Linked DNA regions of Macaca fascicularis. The protein of the gene in region 1 interacts with the protein of each later gene in a pairwise test. Links are inferred from orthologs where the notes say so. Each region holds a gene or a part of one and is shown in the gene's direction. Other genes may lie near its edges.

Region 1 (12,592 bases):
CCAACATGGTGAAACCCCATCTCCACTAAAAATACAAAAATTAGCTGGGCGTAGTGGCAGGTGCCTGTAATCCCAGCTACTCAGGAGGCTGAGACAGAATCACATGAACCTGGGAGGTGGAGGTTGCAGTGAGCTGAGATCGCTCCATTACACTCCAGCCTGGGTGACAAGAGTGAAACCCTGTCCAAACAAACAAACAAACAAACAAACAAATAAATAAAAAACTAATGCCAAGAAAGGTGAATAGTGAATAGTAGGTTTAACTGTATGCCATTCCATGAACATAGACCAAAAAGGACGAGGCCATGCCCCACTGGGTGCTTCATGATTATGTGGCTACCACAGGACAACACAGAACACAGAAGAAATACTGGAGCCCTTGGTTTTATAACACATTTTAATTAAGGTGCTTCTTTCTGACAAGAAAACAATTAAAATAGGTGGGGAAAAAACATTCATTTTCACCAGGTTAGCATTTTGGGAAAGGTGATAAAAGTGTATATCTGTGGATGTACTGGGTGATTTTGCGGAAATGATTCAGTTTCATGTTTTGCTTTATGCTATAAAGTACTCTTGAAAATAATAATCATCTTCACTCTGTCAAAAGTGAAGTTAGCATGAAAATGAGGTAGAAAGAAACTATAAAAAAGTAAAATTTTTCCCATTTTATTTGAAATAATATAATCACAGAGCAAATTGGTGAGGTTTTCTCTAATTGCTTTAGTCTTGTACTTTTGATCTCATCAGAGTTCCAATAATTTTATGTGTTCCTTGTTCTTAAAAATTGCAGTTGTTCTAATTTTCATTTTAAAAGAAGGACAAATGGTGGTAAATATTTTATTAATTGTCAAGAGAACAATCCCACTAAGACAATAGGTGGAATCTATAAAAGGAGTCTATTTATTAGTTTCCCTTCTCATGTATCATTTACAGAATTGTCTTCATTTCAATTGAATAATTAAAGAATCAGAATTGGCTGGCTCTGTCTTTAATTCTTTTCATAAAACCAGAACTTGACCCAGTAAAAATGTATTCTGAGACTAGTCCTAATAAGTATAGGCCTAGCCATGATAATCTGGGTTCTATATGAAACTTATAGATCTTAGTCCAGAAACCAAATAGCAGATATGAAAGGAGAAACTGTGGATAAATAAATGAAAAGTATTGAGTTTTCCTCATAAAATTTCTCGAGACAAAAAAAAGCAATGATCAACAGCAAAGGATAATGTAATGAAATCATATACATGCAGAAACGTGGACAATTCTTTAACTGTATGCTTTTTAAAACCTCAAAAAAATTCTTGTTCTGGCTAATTACTGTACTCTGAGTACCCATCTCCTATATCCTTGCTCTTGACATTGACCCTGTTCAATTCCTTGTATAAAATTTCCTTATGGCCACATCCACTGCCTTAAACAAGATAGAATACCTTGGGACCTAGTAATAAAACAATAGTTTCCTTTTTGAGCTCTTGCCATGTGCCAGGCACTATTCCAACAGTTTTGCATAAATTAGGATAACTTGATCTTTAGACTAGCCTCTTTAGGTACCTTCTGTCATTTTACAGTTGAGACATAGGAACTAACAGGGATTTCATTAAGAAACTTGTTTAAAGCCCCAGACTTAGTGAAGTAGCAAACTGAAGATTGGAAAAGAGGGCTTGAGTAATATTTGGCCATAGAAACCAGATCCATAGTATGTATAACCTCACATTCTCAAATGCTATTGGGAGTTACGTGGTGTTACTCTAAGAGTCACAGCTATGGACTTGTTTCTTTTTCCTTGTTTAAAATAAACTTTGTGGGCTAAAATGTGTTTCCTTCTTTTTTTTTTTTTTTTTAGACGGAGTCTCTCTCTGTCGCCCAGGGTGGAGTGCAGTGGCACTATCTCGGCTCACTGTAAGCTCCATCTCCCGGGTTCATGCCATTCTCTTGCCTCAGCCTCCCAAGTAGCTTGAACTACAGGCGACCACCACCAGGCCTGGCTAATTTTATTTATTTATTTATTTATTTTTGGATTTTTAGTAGAGATGGAGTTTCACAGTTAGCCAGGATGGTCTCGATCTCCTGACCTCGTGATCAACCCGCCTCGGCCTCCTAAAGTGCCGGACGTGTTTCCATTTTGGAAAAAAAATAAAATCCCTTTGTCATCAGATATTTCAGAAAGGTGTTTTCTCCCTTTTCATTGAGTTTTCAACCATTTTCAGTTGCATCTAGCATCGGAGAGTAAGGGTTATAAGTGCAGGTTCTGGATTAAATCCTCTCATTGTGAAATGGGGATATTAGTAGAGTACCTACCTCATGGGGTTCTGTAAAGGGTACAGAGATAATGTATCTCATGCACTTAACATAGCGATAACAGAGCCAACCCCTGTGGTTGGAATAGGCACAGTCCTACATACTTTGCCCAGAATAACTCCTTAATACTCAAACTGACTCTCTAAGGAAGGTAGTCTTTTTAGCTCTATTTTACAGACAGAAAACAAAGGCAAAGAGAGGTTAACGAACTTGCCAAAGACACAAAGTTGGGGTTAGATCCCAAGTTCATCTTCCTAAACATGACACTATACAGACCCTACTGTGCCTACAATAAGTCTTTAATAAAGGTTAGCTCTCTACACACCTCGACTAAAGCTTGCTAAAGAGAATCCTTACTAACTTAATTACTTAGTCACTAAGAAGTTAATCTGGTTTATAAACTCCTCTCTATGGCATCAAAGACAGAAGTTTTGTTGTTGGGCAGTTGCAGGAGCAGAGTCAATACCCTGTCACCAAGGCTGGCCTGGAAAACAAGCTACAGTGATGCTGTATGGATGACTGGGGGTGGAGGGGGATTCTGAACCAACAGCCAAGAATCCCATTTTCAAGTCCTAACTCTGCCACACGTTTTCTATGTAACCTTGAGCATGTCACTTAACTTGACTCAGCTTCAATTTCTCATCTGTAAATGAAGGGGAATGAGACAGGATAAATGGAAAGGGTCTTTCCTACCCTAAAATTTCTGGATTCCATGAGCACAGGGTCTGAATATGTGTCCCTGTTAGATACCAGTGAAACACTGTACCAATAGGTTATTCATAGTATTCATACTTCATACCAAGAATGAGACATTCATCACTGTAACTTTCTTGATACTCATAAGTACATGAAAAATTATTTGAGAAGACCTCAAAAAAAGGAATCTAAGGCTAATGACAAATTTTTTAAGTGTCATAATTTTTTTTCAAGAATTAATAGTCATTGTTGTCCATATCCAGTTGTATTGGCTTATTTCCAACAAAATTTCCCTTGGCTACATGGGGCCTGAGATGCTCTAAGCTTTCAGAAGGACAGAAATGAGTAAGAGCATTTTTCCTAAAGAACAGGAGAATCATCTTAAATGGGCATATGTGAACCATCTAGTTTCCCAATTACTGGCAAATAATTTCAATCTTGGACTGCCCTCTTTGCCATACAAGTATTGTATTACTTGGCCCCTGTATTAGTTTTCTATTTCTTGATATAACAAACTACCACAAACACAGTGGCCTAAAACAATATATTATTTTATCTGACAGTTGTGTAGGTCAGAAGTGCCATACCAGCTCACTAGACTAAGGTCAAGGTGTCAGTAGAGTCAGGTTCCTTCCTGGAGACTCTAGGAAGAATCTGTTTCCTTGTTTCATCCAGCTTCTAGAGGTGACCCACATTCCTTGATTCATGGACGCCTTCCTCCATCTTCACAATCAGCAGCATAGCATCTCTCTAATGAGAGATGGGTCCGGGATGAAACTGTTCCACCTCAGATCATCAGGCATTAGAGTCTCATAAGGAGCATGCAACCTAGATCCCCAGCATGTGCAGTTCACAGCAGGGTTCACGCTGCTATGAGAATCCAATGCCGTGTTGATCTGATAGGAGGCAGAGCACAGGCAGTAATGCTTGCCCGCTGCTTACCTCATGTAGTGTGGCCAGATTTCCAACAGACCACGGACGGGTAACAGTCCTTGGCCTGGGGGTTGGGGATTTATGAGAATCATGTTTCTATCAGATGTTATGGACCATTATCTGTCACTTGCTCTCTCCATTATCATAGATAATTGACATTTGATATTTGGTAAGATTTTCTTTAGTTTCTTTTCTGGATAAACGTATCACTTTGGTATGTTTTGTGATACTTAGGACATCATGGTGTCATCCAAGCCAACAAGCCATGCTGGAGTATATGAAACCACACCCAACCCTTACTACCCACCAAGCAGCTTTACGGCTCCTGGATCTCAACAGCCTCCGGGTTCAATCAACTTAGAAAACCAAGCTCAGGGTGCTCAGAGTGCTCAGCCCTACTTCATCACATCTCCAGGAACCTCTGCTGTCAGTCAACCAGGTCAAGGAAATACACAAATGATAAATCCAAGCGTGGGAAGAGCAGTAATAAACTTTAAAGAAGAAGCAAAGGTACTAGGGGTAAGTCTACTTACTACTAGAATTTTAAACTCACATTTGCAAGGTCTTCTTATAAGTTATAGGAGAAGAGAATATCATCCAATTGCTAAAAAGTTTTGAATGTTATTCTGAAACTATCCCTTTTAGACAGAAATATTTAGTCTGCCTATAGACTTTCCCTTGAGTTCATTTCATTTTAGATCAAGCAAAAATATAACAGGAGACAGAGGAGCCTCCCTAGCTGGAGGATTTGGTAATATTGACATGACGGAAACTCTACTACATCTAGCTTGATCTCATTTCTTCAAAGGACTTTTTGGACAATCTCAATCTCGTCTCCAGATTGGTTACAAGTCAGGTATTTGCATAAAGGTGAATTTACATAAAAATGAACATTGATGGCTGCCTCCAGAAAAGGAAACTACAAATGGGCAGTCTGGGAAAGGCTGAGTGTGAAAGAATTGGGGGACGTTCCATCTGTTGTGCCTCTCTCGCCAATATCCTTAGAGATGCTACAGCGTAACTGTCACCTTATTCCTACAAAGGAGACTCTGAACTGACCACCTTGTTTCTGTAGGCATTGTAAAAACAAAAATGCCCTATTTGTAAGAAAATTCCACCTGCCTAGGTAGAATTGTTACTCCCTTCGCTGTGCTTTCCAAATACCTCATTCATCCCGCTAGTACAATTCCACCAAACTATATTAAGTCTCTCCCTGTGAATAGCTTGAAATTCTCTGCTGGAGCATTCCGTAAATGAATGCTCATTATGTGCCAGAAAATCTTCTAGTCATCTTACTACCTATTTCAAGTTGTGATGTTTTAGGGAAGTAAAAATGAGCCTAAGTTCTCTTGCAGCAGCCTATTTACTAAGCTGTGGAGGTGGCCCTTCTGATCCTCTTCCTCCCAGATAGAGGAAATTCCCCACTTCTAATAAGCCAATGGGACAAACCCCCCATACAGCCAACCCCACATAGGTGCTTGGAAAATATCACCGAGTACAAAGCAGGTGCAATCTCTGCCTTTACAGAACTTTTGCCCTAGTGGGGGAAATCAGACTGTAAACATAAGAAGGAAGTAAAGTACTTAGTGTATTAGAAGGTGTCGAATGATATGGACAAAACAAAGAAGTGTAAAAGGGCTAAAAAGTACCAGACAGTGAGGAGGCAGCAATTTCAAGGCAGTCAGAATGGGCTTTCCTTAGAACATGACATTTGAGCAAAAACCTGAAGTTAGGAGTGAGCCCTGCAGATATCAGGGAAAGTGAAAACAACCAGTGTAAAAGTCTTTAGATGAAAATATCTGTGATGTATTTGAAAAACAGGGAGAAGGCCAATAAAATAGAACAGAATGAGGGAGGGAGGGAGCAGTTGTCAGGAGGGCAGAGGAGTGGCAGAGGCCACAGCTGGTGAGGCCTGCAGAGCAGAAGGCTTTGGCTTTGACTAAGTGGATGACGAACCACTGAATCACGCTGCCTGGCACCAAAAAGGCGTGTGATAAAAATACTTTAAAAGACTATGAAGTTTTGTTTAAAGCTCCAGTTGGCAGAAGCTACTTCCTCTCTCTGAAGATTGTTATTTCTATACCATCAGCAGGCCCCAGGCATCACGACAGTGCAGGGGCCACAGGTGGCAGGACGTGGCACACCTGTACCAGTCAACTCAGACCTTAAAGTGCTTCTGTGTCCACAAATGCAGACAAATTGTATGTCCAAATTTTTAAGTGTGTCCTATAGGCAATTTTCATCAGTAAATGGTACAGCCAGGGCTGTAGGAGGAGAAATGAGGGCCAGTACAAATCCAGATCTAACTGTCCCTCATCAAGGTGACAGCAAGGATGAGGATGGGAAGTTTGTGGCCAGATGGCTAAATTGCTGCTCTAAAGAAGAGTTGTAAAAACCAAATATAAAGTCTAATACAGGAGTTCTTTAAGTGAGATAGGCTAAAGGAGGCCCATCATGCCTCTGAAACTATATGCAAAAGTATGGTATGTGTGTGTATGGAGGTGCAAGAATAATTTTTTAGGGAGAAAGGTTCACGGTTTTTATCAAAGTCTCAAGAAACTGTTAGCATTGTTTATAAAACTGGGTTTTTTTATTTTAATTCAATTTACTTGTGTTCAGTAGCTTTTTATTGAATAAATACAGCAGTCTTTGTATTTGCAGTCTTCCTGGATAGATAAGGTGTAAACATGGGGAAAAATAAATGACAAATCTACAGTCAACTTTTGGACCAATCTAGAAATGGTTATTCCTCAGAAATCTATCTTTATTTACAGTGAAGGAAGGTTCAATAAGAGGTACAAGGAGCTAAAAGATGCATACCTTACTTTTAGTAATATATGATTGGTAAGAAGAATGGTAAGAAAATGATTGCACACCTGCAACTTTTTAAAAGAGAACAATATCAATGAATACAAAATCAAGTAACAAGGTGTGTTTTATGTCATGAGATGCAACAGAAATTTAGAAAAAAAGAAAAAAGATTAATTTGGTGTAATCAAGAGGGCTTCATGGAAGAGGTAGAGCAGAGCTGAGCATGGGGGAAGACAGTACTGAATAGTTCAGACAGGCTCAGCAGTCAATGTGCTGCGGTAAATTCCCAGATCTGCCCCTCAGGAACTGCATGACCTTGGATACAAGGTCTCACATGTCTTTATGTCTCTGGGACTCAATCCAATTGTGGGAGGACTACATGAAACAATAAATGTAAAGTGTTCAGAACATGACTAAGCACATAATTCATGCCTTATAAATGGTTTTATCTTCACCAGTCCCTTTACCCGTAACTGGGATGACCCAAGCAGAGAACTGATCCATCTGAAAAAGCAACTACTGACATCACAGTTAAAGTATTTTTTTTCTAATAGTCTTTTAGAGGCCTTCAGAGATACTAACACATGATTAAGCAGCTGTACTTTCTGAAGAATTCTTCCTGGGCCACCCCAATAAGTCTCCCCAAATACCTCAAAACAAGGCGCTTCACTAAGGGCTACCTACACTCCAGTTATTCTAGTGTATGTCAGAATCTTCATGGCCCACCTCCTGCTTCAGATGCGTGCCTGAATGACAACCATGGATCTCAGCAAAATTGACAATCAATAAGCAGGGGCAGCAATGACAGTAATGTTTCACACGTCTGAAAGTGAAGAAGTAATTTTAAAATGGTTGTTTTCTTTTTTCAGGTAATCCAGATCATGGTTGGATTGATGCACCTTGGTTTTGGAATTATTTTGTGTCTAATAGTAATCCCTTATGGAAGAGTACTCGGTTTTGCCTCTGCTGTTATTAGTGGATACCCATTCTGGGGTGGCCTTTCTGTGAGTAGATTGCTAGAACACCACTCCTTCTTGGTTTATAAAGTATTGATATCTCCAGCCAATTCACAACTCATTTCTTGATAAAGCCCTACATCTGAGGGCTGGAGAATTTAGAAAAATTAACAGCTCTGAATGAGCATAAAAAAATCAGGAACTTGTTTACCATTTTAAATAGGAGCTTATTCCATTCTTTAAAATGTAATCATGTAACCAGCAAGCCAAAGTTTTGGTTTCCTACTACATTTGAGATGGAAATGTATGTATTGGGTGGAGAGAGAGAGAGAAAAAAAAAAAGGTGATTGAAAACATGATTAAAAATATGCAAGTAAGTCAGGCATAGTGGTATGTGATTGTAGTCCCAGCTACTTGGGAGGCTGAGGCCGGGGAATTGCTTGAGTTCAAGAGATTGAGGCCAGCCTGAGCAATATAGTGAGACCCAATCTCCAAAAAAATTTTTTTAATTAAAAAAATGCAATTGATTATGAGAAGGGATGGAGCGTAAGCCTCAGAACAAGGAAAGCTTAGACATTATGAGTTCCTCATGGGCCAGAAATTAAGGAGAAAATAAAAAAGAAGTCAAGGACATACATGCCTGAGAGTTACCCAGAAAATTTAGAAGTGCAAGAGAAAATTTTGAGAAGGAAGCTAGATGAACGTAAATAGACCAACCTTTTGTATAAAGAGAAACTCCCAAGCACAACCAGTTAACCCATTTCTCAACTAAATTTGTCCATTTCCACAGTTCATTATCTCAGGCTCTCTCTCTGTGTCAGCATCCAAGGAGCTTTCCTCTTGTCTGGTAAGTTAGACTGTTTCTGCTTTTTGAACCCCTTTAAAGATTAGCTTAACATATTGGGGAGGAAAATTGAAAAGCTGGATTTGGGAAATGCAAAAGAGAGCACCTTTCCCAAAAAAAATCTATTGGTTGCCTCATGGTCTGAGCGCTGGGGTAGGAGAGTGGTCCACACAGTCTGCCACTAAGAAATGGCAGAGTTCCACATCCTGACTCTTGAACTGACAAGGGTGAGAAGTAGTAAAGATCAGGGTGGTTTAAGCTTTAACCTGAAAGCTCCCTGGTTTAGTCAGGTCACACTCGATTATGGGAAGTCCAAAGGAGAATCCAGGAGCCAGGAAATACCTACTAGCCACATCAGTTACCAAGTCTCTACTGTTAATTTGCCACTTCTCAGCTCTGTCTTGTATTTTTATTTTCATATTTTTGCGTCTTTCCTACTCTTACTCAAGATTGGGTGTGTGTTTTACAATTCTTTAAATTGCCATTAAATGAATCTAGCCTGTTCCGTAAGAAGAGTTTATAAAAATGATCAGTAAGATGGGACCTTGAGTTCTGTTGGTCACAGAGCCCCACCTATTGCAATTTCCCGGTCTACTATTGAACTAGGAAAAAGAAAGTGATTTACCAAGAATTAGAGTCAACTAGAGCAGAGGTGGTGTCAAAATTATATGTAATCCAGCACAAGAGGGAAGAATAGGGAAAGAGGAACACAGGATTGTGTAGTTCATGCTCTTCCAGACAAAACAAGAATAAAATAATTTCGTAGTCCAAAAACAAAATAAAGCACCCTTTCTCTGCATCCTTTAAGGATCCTTCCCTCTAATTGAGATTGTCCAAGCATAGATTCCATCCTCTTAGAGGAGACAGCCACTGACACTTACCTAAGACAATTTTTCCAAGAGCTTTCAGAGACCATCAGGAGGCTCTAAGGCATGCTGCAGTACAAGCACATTCTAAAGAACTCAACTACGCCACCCCTAGCAAGTCAGCAGCAGATCTGCTTTCACAATTATTCTTCTGCATGTTAAAATCCTATTGTAGAAACTGGGGAAAGATTTGTAGTCACCCATACACCTCTGCCCACAAAAGCTTGAAGAGTTTCTCCTTCTAAATTTGGGGGTGCATATTTAGTCCCTAGAGAGACTTAGGGTTTTCATTAATTCCTAAATTTTTCAGCAAACATGTTGTGTCTAAATACTTTGCCATCTATAAAAATCAGATGCTATCATACCACCTCATACAAAAGCTGTAAGAGTTAAGTGAGATAATTTAAATAATTTAACACAGTGTCTGCCACAGAAAAATGCTCATTAGAAGTTTTTTCATTTTTTATAAAGAAAATATAGTTGTTATTGTGCATGAGGCTTTTAGTAAAAACAATAGATGAGTGCCTGCTTTATATGATTTACATTTTTCTACAGCTTTTTAGAAGTACCCTACCTCTAGGCTGCATATAGAATAATGTTTATGGTAATTACCCAGAAGGGCAGAAAATAGAATAATTTCAACTTGAAAATTTGTTTTGAAAGTTCAAAAATTAAGAACCATGAAATTTGATTGATTCTTATTTCATTTAACTTCAGTGATCCTGTATATAATTGATTTTTGCCTGCCATCTCCACTAGGTGAAAGGCAGCCTGGGAATGAACATTGTTAGTTCTATCTTTGCCTTCATTGGAGTGATTCTGCTGGTGGTGGATATGTGCATCCATGGGCCTTACCAACGGGTCGTAAGTATCCCATAATCCACCATGTGCTTGCTCTCTTTTCAGTCCTGTAAAGTGGGTCTATGTTTTATCTCTTAATACCGTACACCAGCTCTAATGGAAATTTTTTTTTCTATTCTAGCCCCACCCCTAGTCATATGATCTCTAGGACTATAGAATAAAGTGAGAGGGTTACCTCTACAGATAGACGGAGGCTTAAAGGACATCCTTTATTGGCCCATCTCACTGTCAATCAAATGAACAATGGGGAAGGGTTTCTAAAATTGTCCAAAAATTATTTTCCCAACATTTGAAATTCTATATAAATAAGGTAGTCAAGCTATTGAGTGTTTTTTGTTAAACTTCAGAGTAAAGTATGAAGTGAGAGGTAAAAGACAGGGATAAGACATCCGATTTTTACAGAGAAACCCAAGGAATGAAGCAATTGCAAAATGAAGCACATGCCTCTGAATGTGCTCAAAACAGAATCACACATTCATTAGCCTTATACAGCCAAGCATGGACTCCGACCTTAGGAGGAAATGGGTGGCCCAAGGGCAGGAATGCTTACCATCTATAAGGAATGGAGGAACATGGTATAAAATGAGGTTGGACTGGAAGCTTTCATTCTATCTCAATGGCCACGTTAAGAAGTTTGGTTTTCATTCTGTGAGCAATGGAAAACCACAGAAGAGTAGTTTTATATGTTTTGTTTTATTTTACGTTGGGGTTGGTTTTGCTTTTGCTTTTCAGTTTACAAAGAGCAGAGTTTATTAAATTACTGTGGGATATATATATCTTAAGAAAGACACAGAATGACTTCCTTATATATCTAGAACATATTAACATTAAGACAATATCACAATATTTTGAACAAATAAACATAATAACATTTCTCTTATCAGTTCACTCAGTACTGTGTAAGTAATTCTGTTCCACTCGATCTCAGAGTGGCAGGCTTATGAAGCCATCTGCTTCTCAACTAAAGGGTTCTGAAATCCTGACTCCAACCATTGGTATAATCTGAAAGTTGTCTAAGCACTCCCATCAGATGCCTGTCCCCTAGAGTATGTTCTTTGAAGTGTCAATAGTTGGAATTGCTGGCACACTCCTTTTCCACCAAGTTCTGAGACAATCCTTCTTTGTTAAAAACGTAGAAGAGTTTTAGGCCGGGAATTTGAATGATCACTTTTGTGCTTGCAAAGGACAACACTGTTTGCAGCGTAAGGAAAAGCTTATATAAGAAGGTGTATTCGGTTGTTTTCACACTGCTGATAAAGAAACACCAAAGACTGGGAAGAAAAAGGGGTTTAATGAGCTTAGAGTTCCATACGGCTGGGGAGGCCTCACAATCATGGCAGAAGGCAAGGAGGAGCAAATCATGTCTTATATGGATGGGGGCAGGCAAAAAAAATAGAGCTTGTGCAGGGATCACAAAACCATCGGATCTCATGACACCCATTCACTATCACAAGAATAGCATGGGAAAGACTCGCCCTCATAATTCAATCATCTCCCACCAGGTTCCTCCCACAACAAGTGGGAATTATGGGAGCTACAAGATGAGATTTGGGTGGGGACACAGAGCCAAACCATATCAGGAGGCAAAAAAAGATGAGAAAGCTTCTTGGTAAATAAGGCAGAGTGAAGCAGGAACAAAATTCATCTTCCAAAATACCAAACAAAAGAACAAAAAGTATTCAAAAAAACAGCTTTCAAACTGGCATCCAAGTAGAGAAAAGAATCATTCTGATGCTACTCAAAGTAGCTGAAAAAAAGCACAGCTTTTAGACCTCACTCTTGTTTCCCTAGAAACAAAACTAAGGAAAAAAGGGAAGCCAAAAAAATTACTGAGAAGTCTCACTAACACTCTTGAGTCTGTAACTGAGAAGGCTGGGGTGGAGAGTAGTCAATTCTGCGAAAGGATAAAGCAAATCCTGTATGGTACAAGACCATGGGTAGTACCCAGGACCTCAGGAGACAGAAGAAAGAGCAACACCTTCCCATACCCTGCATGGTACCCTGCTACCAGCAGGGAATGAGCAGAAATGCACAGGAATAAACCTCCAGTCAAGGAGCAGGCCTCCGTACTAAGCATTTAGCAGGCTCTCAGAAGACAGAAAAAGCAAAGTCCATGTTCACTAGCAAGAACTGTGCTCAGGGCCAGCTAAGCTATATCTCTCCCTGCAACAGCTATATGTTTACATTTAGAAACATGGATATGAAACAACAGCTAGGGCTCAAGTTGTAATGGAAGCAAGGAAGACAAATGGGACCCAAATAAACAGAAGTGTGAATGAAGGAAAATTCACCTACACTGTATCTGATCAAGTAGAAGGCCTGTATAG
Region 2 (12,526 bases), on another chromosome or scaffold:
TCTCTGTCCTTACAATACATGAGGTGGACAGTAATCACCCAAACACAAAAAATAATTCCAACAGTACTATGGCCAGGGCTGTTAGTGGCCCTGTGGCAGGCACGAAGTCAATGGTAAGTGTACGGGTGTTCCTTCCTATCCTCACTCTCCCTCTCCCAACGCCACTTTCTGTTGTTGGGGACCAGTTAGATTTAAATACATTTTCAGATGAATCCCTCACTATTTGAACTGCCACATTTACTACCTGAAACTCAAGGACACATGGATTTCATAACACTGTATCCCTCAACACTCAAACTTGCTCTCTGAATTCTGATATTTGAATGCAGTAACCAAGTCAATTTGGATAAAGAGGGATGGGTATAAAGATAAGTGAATGGGCCAGGCACAGTTGCTCACACCTTTGGGAGGCCAAGGCAGTCAGGGTGCTTGAGCCCTGGCATGCAAGACTAGCCTAGGCAACATGATGAGACCCCATCTCTACAAAAATCCAAAAATTAGCCGGATATGGTGGCGCAGGTCTGTAGTTCCAGCTACTCGGGAGACAGAGTTGGAGGATTACTTGAGCTGAGGAGGTTGAGCCTGCAGTGAGCTGTGATCATCCCACTGCACTCCAGCCTGGGCGACAGGGAAACCCTGTCTCAAAAAAATAGTAAGTGAATGGCAAGTGAACGGCTATGGGCTATATTGTCTCATAGGCAGGAAAATGGAGGTTGAGGATGTTCTGCTCAGTGATGGCTGATACTGAATGAGGCGTGCAGGTCTGTGTGCAGCAATATAAAAAATCATTCATGGAGTACGGCTCACACTTGGGACTTTGATAGTGTGTCTGTCATTTAGCCCTTTTCTGATACTCTGTAAGACAGACTGGACCTTAACCTGCTCATTTGCATCTGACTTTGCCAGAAAAGATTAACTTTGCAGAACTTTGTCCTTTCGAAGAGACCATTTTGGGGAATAAAAAGGTCTCCATGCTTTCTGAGCTCTTCTCCAGGTAGGAATCTCTGGATGACCCAGACATTATCCCATTGAGTCCTTCCTTTTTCCTGGCAGCTGTTCGGTACTTGCCCAACTCCAGGGACACAAGAAACCAGACTCAGTTCTGCCTCATGGCTATGAACATTAATCACAGGGTCTTCCTGAGTCTACCCCATCTGAGAGTTAAAGAGACCTTGATCTGTAGAAATAATAGTTGCAATCTAGTTGTGTCTAGCAGGCCAGAACCAGTGGACATGTGTGTTCTTGCAGCAGAAAAGGGGAGAGCTCTGCTCCTACAGGGGGAGGCTACTGTAGTGGACATCTGGTGTTTCTGCTACCCAGCCTCCATATACTTGTCTCTTGGTAACATCACCTCCACCTTGAGTGTCATTGTTCAAGTCACTGGATGAAGTCTCACCGGAAACCATTATTACCTCTCAACCTCTCATTTCCTAAGGTAATAAGTTCCTTTCATCACTAAAGCCAGTTGGAATGGGTTTTTTTTAACATTTGTTATTGAAAGAATCCCAATGGATACAACTGTCTATTCTTTCCCCCAAGTATCTCTGAATTTCTTCTGGCCTGTCTCTTCCTTTTCATGGAACTAGTAAATTGTTTCTGAAAAATGATAAAGCAATTTCTTAGTGGGAAAAGAGTTTAATAAAGAGGAGTCAAAAAAAGAGATAAGCAGTTGTCTTCAAAGTCTTTATGACTGTTTTCATGACTGTTTCAATCATTCAAAAACATTTATTCAAAACCATTTATTGAGTACCTTTTGTGTACCAGACGGTATTCAAGATGGTGGATATGGTTGTGGTTCACCACATGAGCAAAGTTTTGGCTCTCCTTAAGCCCACATCCTGGAGAGGGGCAGGGCAGGGAGACAAACAATAGGCAAATTAGTAAATCAGGGAAATCTTGGGTAGTGAAAAGTGCTTGAAGAGTTAAGCAGGATGTTGCAAGTTGGGCTCTGGTCAAGTAGAGAAGGATACTCCTTCTCTTCCTTTCACTAAATGCAATTAACAGCCCTGGACAGAATGCATGGAGAAGCTAACTGAGGATTCTAGAAAAAAAAAGCAGGAATATTTTGGAAGGAAACCAGAATTCAAAACACTACTAAGCTGTTGGTGAGTTTCCCATTTTCTTTCCTCTGGTACCTCTCAGCCGGGGTCAGAGACCACCTGAAACCCAGAACTGTACGCAGGATGCGGACAAAGACGTCTCCAAAAGAAGCCCTGTTTCTGGTCTGAGGAATGGGAAAGGGGGCCCCAAAGAGTCAGAGGGAGTGTAGAAAATCTCTGTGTTTTGTTTGTTTGTTTATTCTTTCCTTCCTCAGCCCCTGGGCAATCAAGTGACAGTGATGGTGGCAATGGAAGTAGCAGCCAGGCAGGTACCTGGAACTCTGAGAAAGGGGAACCTTTGTCTCTGACCAGAGGAACCATGATCCTAAAAGCATGGGGGGAATAATTGTTACCTTTGTCTCTCTCTCTCTCTCTCTCTCTCTCTCTCTCTCTCTCTCCCCCCCCCTCCCCCCGCCCCCCCGCCCCAAACCCCGACACCCACATTGCCTTGGTCCCGAAGATAGACACAGTCACAAGAAGTGCACAGCAGAGGAGGAAAATGAAAACCCTGGTCTTTAGCCGGAGGACCAAGGCATATCTTCATTTCTTAATATGCTAATTGCTTCAGAAGGTGGAGGTGGCTCAAGGCCTCTCAACTTGAGACTAAGGGGTTATGGGTTGTATTATTATCTCCATTTCATAGATATGAGCCTAAGAAGGTTGTTTTCCTTCTTAAGCTTTTCCTACTATGCCATGTTGTCCATGGGCAAGTCAAAGGTATCCTACAGCCCGTAAGAATGGCACAGTGCTTATTTGCAACCTTTAAGAGAGGTGGCAAGATGTGGGATTCATGGAGAAATCCCTGCTTTGCTTGGATTAGTCCTGTAAACAAGGTGGCGTAGGTGAGACTGCGGTTGGCAGGTGGGATTAGCGTCTCCCTTACTTCCTAGTTTCCATAGCCTGGAGAAAAGGGATGCTCAGTCTGGTTTGAGATCCACTGGGGGGTTCATTGCCTTTCTTTGCAATGCCTTTGCTCTTAGCTTCATTTGTCCAAACTCCTCTCTCCCTGGGCTCTCCCCAGACGAGGCAAAGGCTGAGCTGGCTGATCTCCCCACCTGTGGCCCTGAGGACAGGACCTGGAATTCCCCATTTCTGCTAATGAGATCAGGACACGGGCTCTTCTAATTAATCCAGCCCTCACACAATCTTCCCCACATGCTCTCCATACCAGGGAGCAGCTGGGGGCAGGAAGAAGGGACCCCAATCCCCAGCATCCTGAGTACACTCTTTCAGGGCAGGTTGGGAAAATGAAGGTTCGCCAATTCAAAGGCGGAGGGGAAATGGTTCAGCCTTTGGGACTTGTATTTGGTGTGAAAGGAGTTGCTTGCTTCTGGGTCACAGCCCTGCAGTCAGCTCCCCTACTTGCCTGGGAGTCAGGAAGAAACTTCTTGGCCCCAAGCCCATTTAGGGGCAAGGCACTGGCTGGAAGGAAGGTCAGGGAAGGAAGGAGGTTGTCCGCCAGAGGCAGCAGCCAGCCAGCCCAGCCCTTCTCTGGTGCCTGCTGCTGTGGTCCTCTCCCAGAGAGTGGGGGCCTTCCTCCATCTGCGCCATGAGGAAAAGAGCAGTGGAGGACCATGGAAAGGGATCCAGAGAAAGAAGGAAACACCAAGTCCCAGGGGCATGAGCTGGAAGGGAGGGCTGCTCCTCCCAGGGGAGGCTGGCGACCGAGAGCTGCCACCAAGAGTGGAAAGGGAGGGAGCTGGGCAAGATCCAGCATTGTTAGTAACCAGCTCTGTGGCCTTGAGTTGACCTCACTGATTCTCAGTCTCCTCACTTGGAAAAGGGCAAAACAGCCACGTGCAGGCCGTGGTGGGCACCCGGGCTGTCTGCAGATAGCATGGCTCATTGCTGGTCCTCAGTACACAGCCCTCATAGCCAAGCAGCCTGAGCCTACACTCTGGGCCCAGGGGAGTGACTGTCGCTGGCATCCCCTAGAGTAACAGGCCCTAGGAGTCAAAGATTCCTTAGTTGGAAAGGTCTAGAAAGAGACTCCCGCTCTGCTCCCTCCTGCACCAGCGCTGTGTCCCCCGCCGGCCAGGCAGGGCCGTTCGATGCCGCTGGCCCGCTCACTGAGGATCTGTTGGCTTCAGCGAGTGGAAGGACCTGCTCGGCTGGAACTTTTTTTTCCCCTCCCAGACGACGTCCGATGGGTGTGTCGCGCAGGAGGTGATATTTGACGGGCTGCGCTCGGGCGAGCTGCCGGGAGTGCCCAGCAGGGGCTGACAGCATGGCCTCGCCCGACCCGCCGGTCACCAGCTACGCCCCGTCCGATGTGCCCTCGGGGATCGCGCTGCTCCTCACCATCCCTTTCGCCTTCTTCCTGCCGGAGCTGGTGAGTGCGGCCCCCCGGCCACCTGCAGAGAGAAAGGAAGGGGGAAACCGGCCTCGGCCCCAGACCAGACCGCGCTGAGACAAGGGGGACCGAGCGCAGGGGCTGCGGTGGCTGCGAGTCTCCCACCGGGCGCACAGCGGGGTGCAGCTGTACTCAAGACACAGATCCCACTCTGCGCCCCGTCTGATGCCGCCAGGGGGGTTCCGCCCTCCAAAACAAAACCCACTTGGGTGTGGAGGCCTGGGGGGACGTTGCTAAAATACTCAGGATTCCCAGGAAAATGTTGGAAATGAATTATAATTACATGGCTTCTTTTGTCCAACTATTTGTGCCTTTCTGATTTGAAGTGGGGAGACTGTGTTTCCCTCTGGGAGCAGGTTTTCTTAATTGTCATGTCTGCTGACTTTGAACTTTGACTTTTGTGGGGTCCCCCACACAAGGTAACTATGACAGCATCTGCCATAAAACAGTCGTGTGAGGCACCCTGGTTGCAAATGAGAACCTGTCACTGTATTACTCTCTGGGGCGCCCTACGGCTGAGTCGTGGCCCTGATCCCTGGGAAGCCTGCCTGCTCCCATCTGCAGAGCTGTGCATATGCAGTGTTCCACACTGCACAAGTCCCCTCTGAACTGGCTGGTACCACATCCTCTTCATGGAGGAGCACACTGAAGTCTGGGGTCCAATCAGGGCAAAAGAGTGTGTTTTGTTTTTCCAGCACCTTCTGAAATATCTAGCTTGTGGGTGGTATTTTCTTACCTGCCCTGAATTTGGCAGTGCTGTCTCTGAGCAGGGAGGAAAAGATAGAAAGTGGATCTACTTTTAAATCGGACGTGACCGGCCCTTCTCACTCTCGTTATCTGCCTGCAAAGTTGGGCCTGATCGAGCCACTTTTAGGCAAACTGGCTAATGGGTGACCATTGATGGCAACCAGAAAGAGAACCAGGTAGGGTGGGCCTAGCATCTGAGTGGCTCCAGTTGAAACTCCACCTAAGAGGCAGGTTTCTGCCAAGGCTACCATCCCCAGCACAGCGTGGGCATCCTGCCAGACTGATGACATAACCTTGCTCTGATGAGTCCTATGTGCCAGGCCCTGGGTGTGCCCCTCACCTTGGAGCAGCCACATGGGCGGCCAGGGTACTGGTTGACTCTGCCTCTTTTTATTGAGCCTGTGGTTTATGTCAGTCCTGCAAGCCCCTGGTGACAGGGCACTGCCTCCTGGTGATTTCCTGTCTGCTGGGGAGAGACTGTGAGCATCTCCCCCCCAACAGTTGGATGGTAGCCTCAGCAAGGAGGGACCTTCTGAACTCTCCAGGCCAGGGAGGGATCCAGGCCTGCCACCAAGAGTTGGACCTCAAAGAACAGGCATTCATAGGCTGGGGGGAAAGAGAGGGAAAGGCCTAGAGGCCAGGGGAGAAGTCCTGGAAGCAGGCTAGATGCACGGTGTTTCCGGAATCAGGATCGCTCCCAGGGTGAGAACTGTGAGAGGTCGTGGTGGCTCCACCTGCCCTGCTCCTGCCAGTGAAACTCCTGGGAGAGCAAAGTGCATGCTCATGTTGGGCTCTGAGGCCTTACGTGTTGTGGGGGGTGAGGGGCTCAATGACAATCAAAATTGACATTGGCCCAATTGTCTTCATTTACTTGTATTGTTAAGTAATGTGAGATTTACAGTAAAGCTGCAATAATAGTACAGAAAGTTCTGTGTACTCTTCCCTCAGCTGCCCCTAATGCCTGCATCTTCCATGGTACAACTCTTGAAATCAGGAAACAGTGATACTGTGCTATCAAGTACTCTATAAACCTTACTTCAGTTTTGCTAATTTCCTCACTGATGTCCTTTTTCTGATCCAGGATCCTGGCCAGGATCCCACATGGCACTTAGTTGTCATATCTCCTTCATCTCCTTTAATCTGGGACAACCTGGGTCCTTACCTTGCCACTTCTGAAGAGTACTGATTAGTTGTTGTTGTTGTTGTTGTTGTTGTTTTTTGCTTTTGAAAAATTTATTTTTCCATAAGTTATTGGGGTACAGGTGGTATTTAGTTACATGAGTAAGTTCTTTAGTGGTGATTTGTAAGATTTTGGTGCACTCATCATCCTTGTGTACACTGCACCGTATTTGTAACCATATATATATATCTCTCTCTCACAGTTTCTTTATCCACCCATTGATTGATGGGCATTTGGGTTGGTTCCACAATTTTGGAATTGTGAATTGTGCTGCTATAAACATGTGTGTGCAAGTATCTTTCTTGAATAATGACTTCTTTTCCTCTGGGTAGATACCCAGTAGTGGGGTTGCTAGATCAAATGGTATTCTACTTTTAGTTCTTTAAGGAAACTCCACACTGTTTTCCATAGTGGATGTACTAGTTTACATTCCCACCAGAAGGGTAGAAGTATTCCCTGTTCACCACATCCACACCAACATCTGTTGTTTTTTGATTTTTTTGATTATGGCCATTCTTGCAGGAGTGAGGTGGTATCACATTGTGGTTTTGATTTGCATTTCCCTGATCATTAGTGATGTTGAGCATTTTTTCATGTCTGTTCCCCATTTGTGTATCTTCTTTTGAGAATTGTCTATTCATGTCCTTGGCCCACTTTTTGATGGCATTTTTTGTTTTTTTCTTACTGATTAGTTTGACTTCATTGTAGATTCTGAATATTAGTCCTTTGTCAGATGTATAGATTGTGAAGATTTTCTCCCACTCTGTGGGTTATCTGTTTACTCTGCTGTCTGTTCCTTTTGCTGTGCAGAAGCTCTGTAGTTTAATTAGGTCCCAGCTATCTATCTTTGTTTGTATTGCATTTGCTCTTGGGTTCTTGGTCATGAAATCCTTGCCTAAGCCAGTATCTAGAAGGGTTTTTCCAGTGTTATCTTCTAGAATTTTTGTAGTTTCAGGTCTTAAGTTTAAGTCCTTAATCCATCTTGAGTTGATTTTTGTATAAGGTGAGAGACGAGGATCCAGTTTCAATCTCCTACATGTGAGTAGCCAATTATCCCAGCACCATTTGTTGAAAAAGATGTCCTTTCCCCATATTATGTTTTTGTTTGCTTTGTCCAAGATCAGTTGGCTGTTAAGTATTTGGGTTTATTTCTGGGTTCTCTATTCTGTTCCATTGATCTATGTGCCTGTTTTTATACCAGTACCATGCTGTTTTGGTAACTATGGCCTTAGAATATAGTTTGAAATCAGGTAGTGTCATGCCTCCATATTTTTTTTTGTTGTTGTTTTTTGCTTAGTCTTGCTTTGGCTATGCTGGCTCTTTTTTGGTTCTATGAATTTTAGAATTGTTTTTTCTGATTCTGTGAAGAATGATGGTGGTATTCTGATGGGGATTGCATTTAATTTGTAGATTGCTTTTGGCAGTATGGTTATTTTCACAATATTGATTCTACCCATCCATGAGCATGGGATTTGTTTCCATTTGTTTGTGTCGTCTGATTTCTTTCAGCAGTGTTTTGTAGTTTTCCTTGTAGAGGTCTTTCAACTCCTTTGTTAGTTATATTCCTAAGTATATTATTATTATTATTATTATTATTATTTTTATTTGCAGCTATCATGAAAGGGGTTGAGCTCTTGATTTGATTCTCTGCTTGGTTGCTGTTGGTATATAGAAAAGCTAGTGATTTGTGTACATTAATCTTGTATCCAGAAACTTTTGCTGAATTCTTTATCAGTTCTAGGAGCTTTCTGGAAGAGTCTTTAGGGTTTTCAAGTTAAATGATCTTATCGTCAGCAAACAGTGACAGTTTGACTTCCTCTTTACTGATTTGCATGCCCTGTATTTCTTTCTCTTGTCTGATTTCTCTGGCTAGGACTTCCAGTATTATGTTGAAGAGGAGTGGTGAGAGTGGGCGTCCTTATCTTGTTCCAGTTCTCAGAGGGAATGCTTTCAACTTTTCCCCATTCGGTATTATGTTGGCTGTGGGTGTGTCATAGATGGCTTTTATTACATTAAGGTATGTCCCTTGTATGCCGATTTTGCTGAGAGTTTTGACCATAAAGGGATGCTGGATTTTGTCGAATGCTTTTTCTGCATCTATTGAAATGATCATGTGATTTTTGTTTTAAATTCTGTTTATGTGGTGTATCACATTTATTGACTTGCGTATGTTAAACCATCCTTGCATCTCTGGTATGAAACCCACTTGATCATGGTGGATTATCTTTTTGGTATGTTGTTGGATTCAGTTAGCTAGTATTTTGTTAAGGATTTTAGCATCTATGTTCATCAAAGATATCAGTCTGTAGTTTTCTTTTTTGGTTATGTCCTTTCGTGGTTTTGATATTAGGGTGATGCTGGCTTCATAGAATGAATTAGGGAGGGTTCCTTTGTTCTCTATCATGTGGAATAATGTCAAAAGGATTGATATCAATTCTTCCTTGAATGTCTGGTAGAATTCTGCTGTGAATCCATCTGTTCTTGGACTTTTTTTTGTCAGTGATTTTTAAATTACTGTTTCAATCTTGCAGCTTGTTATTGATCTGTTTAGTGTACTACTTCTTCCTGATTTAAGCTAGGAGGGTTCTATTTTTCTAGGCATTTATCCATCTCGTCTAAGTTTTCTAGTTTTTTGTGCATAAAGGTATTCCTAATAGCCTTGAATGATCTTTTGTATTTCAGTGGTGTCAGTTGTAATATCTCCTGTTTTGTTTCTTAGTGAGGTTATTTGGATTTTCTCTCTTCTTTCTTTGGTTAATCTTGCTAATGGTCTATTAATTTTATTTATCTTTTCAAATAACCAGCTTTTTATTTCATTTATCTTTTATGGGTTTTTTGTTTGTTTGTTTGTTTCAATTTCATTTAGCTCTGCTCTGATCTCGGTTATTTCCTTTCTTCTGCTGGGTTTGGGTTTGGCTTGTTCTTGTTTCTCTAGTTCCTTGAGGTATGACCTTAGATTGTCTATCTGTGCTCTTTCAGACTTTTTGATGTAGGTGTTTAGGGCTATGAACTTTCCTCTTAACACTGCCTTTGCTATATACCAGAGGTTTTGATAAGTTGTGTCATTATTGTCATTCAGTTTGAAGAATTTTTTAATTTCCATCTTGATTTTATTTTTGACTCAATGCTTTCAGAAGCAGGTTATTTAATTTCCATGTATTTGAATGGTTTTGAAAGTTCCTTTTGGAGTTGATTTCCAGTTTTATTCTACTGTGGTCTGAGAGAGTGCTTGATATAATTTCAGTTTTCTTAAATTTATCAAGTCTCATTTTATGACCTATCATATGGTCTATCTTGGAGAAAGTTCCGTGTGCTGTTGAATAGAATGTGTATTCTGTGGTTGTTGGATGAAATGTTCCGTCAATTGTAATATCTCCTGTTTTGTTTCTGTTAAGTCCATTTGTTCCAAGGTATAGTTTAAATCCATTGTTTCTTCATTGACTTTCTGTTACAATGGCCTGTCTAGTGCTGTCGGTGGAGTATTGAAGTCCCCCACTATTATTGTGTTGCTGTCTATCTCATTTCTTAGGTCTATTAGTAATTATTTTATAAATTTGGGAGCTCCAGTGTTAGGTACATATATGTTTAGGATTGTGATACTTTTCTGTTGGACAAGGCCTTTTACCATTATATACTGTCTCTCTTTATCTCTTTTAACTGATGTTACTTTAAAGTTTGTTTGATATAAGAAGAGCTGCCCCTGCTCACTTTTGGTGTCCATTTGCATGAAGTGCCTTTTCCCACCCTTTTACTTTAAGTTTATGTGAGTCCTTATGTGTTAGGTGAGTCTCCTGAAGGCAGCAGATAGTTTGTTGGCGAGTTCTTATCCATTCTGTGGTTTTGTGTCTTTAAAGTGGAACATTTAGGCCATTTACATTCAATGTTAGTATTGAAATGTGAGGTACCATTGCATTCATCATGCTCTTTGTTGCCTGTCTACTTTGGTTTTGCTTTTGCTTTTTAACTTGTATTTTTGTTTTATAGGTCCTGTGTGATTTATGCTTTAAAGAGGTTCCATTTTGATGCGTTTCCAGGATTTGTTTCAAGAGTTAGAGCTCCTTTTAGCAGTTGTTGTAGTGGTCGTTTGGTAATGGCAAATTCTGTCAGCATTTGTTTGTCTGAAAATGACTGTATCTTTCCTTCATATACGATACTTAGTTTCACTGGATATAAAATTCTTGGCTGATAATTGTTTTGTTTGAGGAAGCTGAAGATAGGTCCCCAGTCCCTTCTAGGTTATAGGGTTTCTGCTGAGAAATCTGCTGCTAATCTGATAGCTTTTCCTTTATAGATTACCTGGTGCTTTTGTCTCATAACTCTTAAGAGCCTTTCCTTCGTCTTAGCTTTGGATAACCCGACGACAATGTGCCTAGGCAAAGATCTTTTTGTGATGAATTTCCCAGGTGTTCTTTGTGCTTCTTGTATTTGGCTGTCTAGGTCTCTCACAAATCTGGGAAAATTTCCCTTGATTATTACTCCAGATATGTTTTCCAGGCTTTTAGAATTCTCTTCTTCCTCAGGTACACCAATTATTCTTAGGCTTGGTTGTTTAACATAATCCCAGACTTCTTGGAGGCTTTGCTCATATTTTCTCTTTTTTTTTTTCTTTGTCTTCATTGGATTGGGTTAATAATTCAAAGACCTTGTCTTTGAGCTCTGAATTTCTTTCTTCCACTTGTTAAATTCTATTGCTGAGACTTCCCAGAGCATTTCACATTTCTAAAATTGTGTCCAAAGTTTCCTGAATTTTTGACTGTTTTTTCTTTAAGCTATCTATTTCCATGAATATTTCTCCCTCCACTTGTATCATTTTTTGGACTTCCTTTGCATTGGGCTTCGCCTTTTTCTGGTCCCTCCCTGTTTAGCTTAATAACTAATCTCTTGAATTCTTTTTCAGGTGAATCAGGGATTTCTTCTTGGTTTGGATCCATTATTGGTGAACTAGTGTGATTATGGGGGGTATTGAAGAGCCTTGTTTTGTCATATTACCAGGGCTGGTTTTCTGGTTCCTTCTCGTTTGGGTAGGCTCTGTCAGAGGGAAGGTCTAGGGCTAAAGGCTGTTGTTCAGATTCTTTTGTTCTACAAGGTGTTCCCTTGATGCAGTACTCTTCCCCCTTTCCTATGGATGTGGCTTCCTGTAAGCCGAACTGCAGTGATTGTTGTCTCTCTTCTGGATCCAGCCACCCAGCGAATTTACCTGGCTCCGGGCTGGTACTCCGGATTGTCTGCACAGAGTCCTGTGATGTGGACCGTCTGTGGGTCTCTCAGCCATGGATACCAGTGCCTGTTCTGGTGGAGGTGGCAGAGGGTGCAGTGGACTCTGTGAGGGTCCTTAGCTTTGGTGGTTTAATGGTCTATTTTTGTGCTGGTTGGCCCCCTGCCAGGAGGTGGCACTTTCCAGAAAGCAACAGCTGTAGTAGTATGGAGATGGACCAGTGGTGGGTGGAGCCCTAGAACTCCCAAGATTATATGCCCTTTGTCTTCCACTAGAGTGGATAGGGAAGGACCATCAGATGGGGACAGGGCTAGGCATGTCTGAGCTCAGACTCTCCTTGGATGAGTTTTGCTGTGGCTGCTGTGAGGGGTGGAGGTGAGATTCCCAAGTTACGGGAGTTGTGCACCTAGGAAGATTATGGCTGCCTCTGCTGAGTCATGCAGATTGTCAGGGAAATGGGGGAAAGTTGGCAATCACAGGCCTCACCCAGCTCCCACACAAACCAAATGGCCGGTTCCACTCCCACTGTGTCCCTCACAACAGCCCCAAGTCTGTTTCCAGGCAGAGGGCAGGATGGCTTTGAAAACTTGCCCAAGGCTATCCTCCTCCCAAAGCAAGAGTAAAGGGCTTTAGTTCTTCCCCTGCCTGTAAAGTCTGCACACTCAATTTGTGACCTCTCCTGAGTTCTGACCAGGTCTTCTGAGTTCTGGCCAGGAGGCATCTCTCCCCATTCAAATTGTTACAAAGTTCAGCTAGAGAAGTCCTTCTCCCTGTGGAGTTTTACCTCCTGCTCCTCTGGCCACCCTCCTGATGAATCCCTGTGGTGCCAGGCAGGATTGGGCTGCTTGGGGACCCAGTGAGCTCCCAGGGCCTTTCTGCTGCTTCCTCTACCCCCGTATTTTGCTCAGCTCTCCAACTTGACTCAGCTCCAG

Evidence for each region.
Region 2: the proteins of MS4A12 (region 1) and MALL interact in binary tests that used the Homo sapiens proteins (3 or more experiments, as listed by UniProt). The two-hybrid records come from large-scale screens. The link is inferred for Macaca fascicularis from reciprocal best matches to the Homo sapiens genes MS4A12 and MALL.

Annotation. Positions count from the first base shown.
Region 1 is NC_088388.1:13,723,398-13,735,989, reverse strand, and holds the start of MS4A12 (membrane-spanning 4-domains subfamily A member 12), read left to right. Parts: upstream 1-4,167; coding exon 4,168-4,446; intron 4,447-7,607; coding exon 7,608-7,742; intron 7,743-8,484; coding exon 8,485-8,541; intron 8,542-10,163; coding exon 10,164-10,268; intron 10,269-12,592. UniProt on the Homo sapiens protein: May be involved in signal transduction as a component of a multimeric receptor complex.
Region 2 is NC_088387.1:17,481,644-17,494,169, reverse strand, and holds the start of MALL (MAL-like protein), read left to right. Parts: upstream 1-4,300; 5' UTR 4,301-4,326; coding exon 4,327-4,431; intron 4,432-12,526.